Linked DNA regions of Daphnia pulex. The protein of the gene in region 2 purifies or fractionates together with the protein of the main gene of each other region. This does not show direct contact. Links are inferred from orthologs where the notes say so. Each region holds a gene or a part of one and is shown on either strand. Other genes may lie near its edges.

Region 1 (3,059 bases), on a different chromosome or scaffold from region 2:
GAATTTTAGAGGCAAGTTTTTTTTACTGACGAAAATAATTGGTCGTCGTTATCTCGCGGTCGTGTTCGAGTCCATCGGCTTAAGAAAGATTCTATAAAATAATAAATATATTGAATATCAAGAGAAGTGACCTAACATCCGTATCCGTTTGGGGAGGCATGTTGCCTGGTGGCTAGACAAGGCTAAGTCGATTAGAAGAAAACTTAACGACAGTGTAGTATGCGAATATACTTGAAACAAATTTACTCGCCTTCATTCGAACTAATTTTCAACGTGATGACAGGAGAAAGTTCGTTCAAGACAAGTAAATTTATGTCTTTCTTTATTCGCATCAATTTTAACACATTTTTCCTTTGGAAATATGGATTGAATTAACTCCAAATTTAGCTGCGCTGGAATAAAAGCCTACCAAGGGATGCAACAGGGATTCCACTGAAAGTGTTTAGGGTTAGCAAGATTAGGAATTATGCAAAGGGAGGACACAAGATGGGTTGCATTTCAACGGAAGGGACGCTGATAACGCTAAAGAGCTATTTGAGATGGTTTACTGAAGAAATGGTATTGAAAGTAAACAGTGTATTCAATGGCATAAACGCTCGCTTAAAGTTCAACGCTCAAACTTCTGAAATGGGAAAAAGGCAGAGTGGTATAATTTACACATAATATCAGTAGTAGTCTATATCACATTTTTAAATCATCTCGTAGCCCTATACATAATCTCCATGTATTCTCGGAATTGTTTTCTTTTTCCGCAAAAGTTCTAGTAACTTCTCGGAAAACTTATGGAAAACGGCGATGACAAATTATTCAACGGATATTCCTGCGTTTAAACAAAAAAAAACTGGAAGCTTTGATTGTCTCAATGCAAAATTTAATGGACGAATCATTTTCTGTCAGATCAAATGAACTACAAATTCGTAAATACAAACCGCAACCGTATCTAAACAAAAAAATGTTGCTGAATTATTTTTTTGATTTGAGGCAAAAACAAAGAAATCAATTTAAAGGATCGTTTGGTGAAGGAATTGTCAATTATGGATAGTGACGTTTACAAAATTAGGCGTACAGAAGCTATATTAATCATGTTGTGTATTATCTTTCTTGGAAAGGTTTCAGAGATAAGGAGATGGCTTCCTCTGTGTAAAATCCAGCAGTCGACATTTAGCCCCCTCCTTCTCCTCAGAAGACGAATTCGACTGCGCTGCTCCTTTCGGCGAGCTCCGGAAGCTTTGCCTTACTTTGAGGTATGGGCGGTATGGTTCAAATCCTGAAGTATTGGGTAATAAGTAGAATAAATATTCCAAGGATAAAGGTGGCATAAAGAAGGTAACCTCAAATTATTTCTTTGGGATTCAAGGGAGTCGACAATTTCTTATTGATGCATTTCAGGAAGCTAACAACTATCGTAGGGATTCCTTATTTGATACTGTTATGGAAAAGGTTTTAAAAATTACCTTTTACATTTTACAGGCACATTCACATCAGCTACCCATTTTTTTATCCTATAATGTCACTGCAAAAATTTGAAATCAAAGGCTATTGAAGTAACTAATTTTACAAGACTTTTTTTAAAACTGCTCGTTATTGTAAAAGAAAAATCAACAAAAATTTAATAAATATTATCATACAATTTTTATTTCTAGAAACATATTAGAGACTTTTTTTATCTGAAAACTGTGCAGAAAGTTGACAAAAAAAGCTTCCTGGCATATGGACTAGGATTTACTATTATAGCCGTGTAGTATTTGCCATTATTCTATTATTGCAAACTATTTTAGTAATAGAACCACAGTGTGGCTTAAATTCTAGAAAAAAAAATTCTTTTTATCTGTAGCAAGGCGGGAACCGACAGTTCTTATAGCAAGTCAGACCCTGCTAGCCTTGATGGTGCGATTGCGTTGGATGGTGCAATTGTAACTGCGCCACCCAACTAACACTTTCTCTTCTTGCACAATCACATCCTGGTGATGGTGCTACTGTATTTGTATTTGCGCCTCAAGTATACAGTGATGTTGCAATCACATCTGTGTATTAAAGCCCACGCTCTGTCTCTTCCAACCAGAGTTGCCCGGCAGTGTATTCCCCAGCATCGGTAAATATACGTATCCTTCTCAAGATATATGTTCAGTGTTTGTGTTGTTCTTTGGTAATCTAAGTGTTAATGTTAGTTAAGTGTTAGAGCAAATTAAGTGTTAGTGCTTGAATCTTGTGATAAGTTCATCATCACATACCAAAGACTTATACTGTGGCTTTTTGGATTCAATTTGCCAAAGAAGCAAAACGGTGTTTTCCAAGAAGCCAGAGACTGGGGACCAAGAAGCCACACCTCATACGTCATGATGCTTCTTGGCCAGTATGGTAGTGTGGCTTCTTGGTGCTGGCTTCTAGTGAAAGTGGCTTCTTGACTTGACGACGAAAACGTGGGAGATTGTCACTGATGATGGAGAATCTTTTGACGAAAAGGCAGCTGTCTGGCATATAAATGACAAAGCAATGTGAAAGTATGCTTAACAATACTGTTAATAAACGCTAGTCTAAATCTAAATTATTCAATATTTAAATTTAGAAAAGTAAATTTTGGTGGACAGTGATTTCAAGGACCGCCCACCAAACATGGTGGGGACCCGATTTAATCTAAGAGGAGCCTATCTCAACTTTGAAGAGATATTACGTGTTGAAATTCAAATTTTAAGAGTAGAAAAATACTTTTGAGAATCAGCGTGAAAAACTGATTAGAATTATATTTATTTTTACCTGATCCCTTATTCATGCACAAACCCTAATGAATAATTTCGTCTATAATAGGATGTCAAGATATACTCTGTAATCTCGATTCACGTTTCTATTTCATTTAACTAAAGCATAAAACTCTCACTGAACCCTTTGTTCCAGCCATTTGTTCTTATAGGAACACTGAGTTATGCCGAGACTTGATTCTATTTTATTTTATTTGCTACAAACCAAAATAAAATGCACTATGTATTTTTTACGGGGATACATCAATCAAGGTAGCCCATTTTCCTGTAATTATGTTTCAGTGGTATTTTAGTAAAATACTT
Region 2 (3,762 bases):
CGGGTGGTTGCAATGAAACCATCTGCATGACAGCAATGAAGCTCAGACTTTGTTGTGATCTCAAATTATTTGATAGACAAGCAAATGGATCTCCCACCTGAACATAAACTAATAAAATATATTGCATTATAGCAGGGAAATTAATCAACAAATTTAAATTTACAGTGTACAAGAATGCAATTAGAACCAATAGCTAAATTATGTTGTAATTGTTATTAATTAAAAACAGTTAAACTTACCTCAAAATCCTAATCTAAATTTGTTTTGCTTTTTGGAAGTAGCTTAAGAGGTGTATTGTGTAACTTAGGAGCAGCGAAGTTTCCCAAGAGGATTCTATCTAGTAGGGCATTTAGCCCAGACCCAGACAAAGCTGTCGCATTCCTATGCTGCTCACTAATCATCAATGGCCATCGAACCTAATTAGAAGAAAGAAAGATTAATCACAGGTAAGGCTCAGTTCAGAATGACAGGACTAAAGCTAAAAGGGTGATACGTAGAGGTAGCTCGACGATATTTCGTCAACAATCTGGAATCACTAACAGTAACAGATGAGACACAAAAGCGAATGTCATGCTGCCTTCCTCTCATTGTAGAAGCAATGGGGGGATTTCGTCTGTTGTGATGTGCTGTGATGCTGCGGTGGTGAATTTTTCATTTTTGGGTGAAGACGAGATACAAATTGAAAGGGGAGAATATTATGTGAGTATCAAAGTCTTTGATTGTTAGTTATTCTTGCAATTGAGTGTCAACCAGGGTGTAGAGCGGACATTTTTTTCATGTTACTGTTAAACGTTTCTTTTTTGTGGCGCTAATAACATAACTTACAGATAATCTGTGATGATAGAGGTAATGGATAATAGATAATAAGATGATGGAGAATTCCTACAGCGTCGCTTCACCAATATCACCATAGTCTCTATCAGTCTATCACTCTGCCAAAGTGCCCCGATCACTCACTAAGCGGCGCCTTATTCGACTTACCCACCCACCCCCCGACTGCTCGTCGTTTTCTATCAGGGAAATAACAGCAACGTTGTATTTTAGAAAAACATTGTCTGCTAGGGCTAGGGCGGCTAGCTCACCTAGCTGACAAAGACAAACAGCAGTTGACTGTTGTCATTTAGCAATGGAATGTCGTTATTTTTTGGAGTTCATTTTCTTATCTGGATAAAAAATGAATGGAGGAATACAGCTGCAAGGCTGAAAAATTTTCCAAGATGCCCAATCCTTTTAGAATCATTACTACTAGTCTACTACTACCTCTGATAGGAATTCAGAAGCATAAGCGAGCATAAGTTGCACCGGTGGTTAAAATCATATCAACCTGTTTTCAACAATGGGTTAGGAGAAATTGTAACAAGTTTAATTACATTTCATAGCTGAGAATATTGCTAATATGGCTGTCATCATCAAAGAAGCTATTTCTGGCTGCAATTTGGGTACTGTCAGATTGTTCAACAATGGAATGAGTTACACAGTTGCTATGGTGATTGTTTGTTTTGACCTTACATATTACTACTTAGAAGTGATCATATCTTTCAGTGATATAATATGGATAAGTATAACATGGAAACGTATGATGAAGATGATCTTTATTCTGGATTCAATGAATTTCATCCTACACTGAACACATCTAGCCTCATTCAAGACTCCCTATCTAGAGATGTTAAAAACCAGCAGTCAATGCTACAGATGCAGGTAATGTTAACAAGACTATGTAAAATGTCTCAGCGGTTTTATTCATTTGTTTAGTGGTACATTAATAAGATTTCCAAATATCAATTTTCATTTATTTATCATCAATTGCACTTGATATTAGCAATCAAGAGTGGTTACAGCATCTCGTGGTGGGGTTCCAACTGCAGTTGCCAGACCAGTAACTGCAATTCGTGGAGCAGGATATACTTCATCAAGATTGGCAACAGCCAGTCAGGTCTACGATCCTTTGAATCAATCTGGCAGGGTTACAACACCATTTTCAGAACCTAAAGCTGTTGATCCGTATGTAGCTTTTGTTGTCAACCCAAACTTATTACACAAAATTCATTATAATCTTACACAGGCCAGAAAAGCAGATGAAAATGCTGGAAAGTAGCATACAACAAATTATAGAAGAATCAATTGTGGCTCACAGTAAAGAGGAATTTAGAGTGGCACTAGACAAGGCCAAAGAAGCGGTCAATAAAGAACGAAGTCTTATACGTCAAAAGGAGCAATCCGGCATGGGGGAATCGAATAGCGACCTCGCTTTCATGGTAATTACGATCTGCGCCTTGATTTGCTTTAAAAAATTTGCTATTCCATGTTTTTTACTAATACGAAGAATTTTCGAATAAACAGGTGCTGTTCAACCTAGCGAATCAGTACGTCGGTAACGGACTGTTTTCAGAAGCCATGTCGTCCTATCAGCAGCTAATTAAAAATCGTTCTTTCGCCAACATCGGTCGACTGCGACTCAATACCGCCAATTTACATTTTCGTCTGGGACAGTACGCGCTCTCACTCAAGCAGTATCGAATGGCTTTAGATCAAGTTCCGGCTCACTTTACAACATTAAGGTAGTGTAAATGGCTGTAATAACATTTTCATTATTTGTTTTAGAACTAATTCTCGATTACTCTTGCTAAACGAATTCCTTATTAGGACGAAAATAATGCAGAACATTGGCTTGCTGTTTATCAAAATGGGGCAGTACAACGACGCCTGTACGAGCTTCGAATTTGTTATGCAAGAAAAGCCCGACTTCAAAACTGGTAAGTCAATTTCAAATTGGTTTAAATTTATTGCTTTACCCTTTTTCCTGATGCCAAAACGTCAAACATTCAAAGGTTTACACATGGTGCTCAGCTACTACGCCTTGGCAGATCGGGAAAATATGCGCAAATCGTTCCTTCGCTTGCTGGACGTTCGTGCCGAGTCGGACGATTTTGATAAACTGGTGCCGGAGGTTAATAAGATGCTCTGCCTCATTCTCAATTTGAATAATCTCGTGTGCTCAGTTCTGTTGTTTTGTTTATTTTTCTTCTTCCCCCTCTCCTGGATAAATGATGTTTGCACAGGGTGACGCCCAGTGGAATTCGTTGCGTGAAGCGTTGAATAACGATTCGTTACACCGTTTGGAGCGTCAGGCCAAATTTGAAGGTGAAAGGTGCATATTGATGGCCGCCAAGTTAATCTCGCCTGTGATCGAAGATACTTTTAGTGTTGGCTACCAGTGGTAAGTTGTATAATTTATTCAAATCCGTCGTGGGGGGATGTTTGATAAATAACAATGATTTATGTCCAGGTGCGTCGAGGCCATCAAAGAGTCAACCCACAATCATCTGGCAGACGATTTGGAGATCAATAAAGCCGTACTCTTTCTACGCCAAAAGGACGTGGCCCTGGCTACCGAAACGCTGAGGAGCTTTGAAAAACGATCCAGCAGAATGGCTACCAACGCAGCTGTCAACCTGTCGACAATTTATTACCTAGTACGTTCAACGCCTACTGCATAAATTTACACAATCGTAAACTAATTCCGTTTTTTTCTTTTCTTTTTCTATTTTTTTACTAACGATATGATTCAGCAAGGTGACATAGCCAGCGCTGAAAAATACGCCGAAGTGGCTAGAGATTCGGATCCTTACAATGCGGCCGCCTTCGTCTGCTTAGGCAATTGTTCACTCCGCCGAGCGGATTACAATAAAGCTCGCGATTTTTTCCTTTTCGCTTTGGATAATGACGCTGCTTGTGTGGAAGCCCTGTACAATCTCGGTAAAG

What was found. Proteins that work in one complex are often made in the same cells at the same time.
Region 1: the proteins of intraflagellar transport protein 88 homolog (region 2) and intraflagellar transport protein 46 homolog purify together in Homo sapiens (affinity purification with mass spectrometry; 3 studies listed by BioGRID and IntAct, with this or other methods). This does not show direct contact. The link is inferred for Daphnia pulex from reciprocal best matches to the Homo sapiens genes IFT88 and IFT46.

What each region holds. Positions count from the first base shown.
Region 1 is NC_060020.1:8,814,227-8,817,285, forward strand, and holds the end of intraflagellar transport protein 46 homolog, read right to left. Parts: intron 3,013-3,059; exon of another isoform or gene 2,567-3,012; intron 2,502-2,566; exon of another isoform or gene 1,899-2,501; intron 1,268-1,898; coding exon 1,113-1,267; 3' UTR 578-1,112; downstream 1-577. UniProt on the Homo sapiens protein: Forms part of a complex involved in intraflagellar transport (IFT), the bi-directional movement of particles required for the assembly, maintenance and functioning of primary cilia. May play a role in chondrocyte maturation and skeletogenesis.
Region 2 is NC_060019.1:9,737,895-9,741,656, forward strand, and holds the start of intraflagellar transport protein 88 homolog, read left to right. Parts: upstream 1-1,073; 5' UTR 1,074-1,439; intron 1,440-1,523; 5' UTR 1,524-1,551; coding exon 1,552-1,698; intron 1,699-1,819; coding exon 1,820-2,001; intron 2,002-2,062; coding exon 2,063-2,255; intron 2,256-2,340; coding exon 2,341-2,558; intron 2,559-2,643; coding exon 2,644-2,753; intron 2,754-2,828; coding exon 2,829-2,947; intron 2,948-3,059; coding exon 3,060-3,217; intron 3,218-3,286; coding exon 3,287-3,473; intron 3,474-3,569; coding exon 3,570-3,756; intron 3,757-3,762. UniProt on the Homo sapiens protein: Positively regulates primary cilium biogenesis. Also involved in autophagy since it is required for trafficking of ATG16L and the expansion of the autophagic compartment.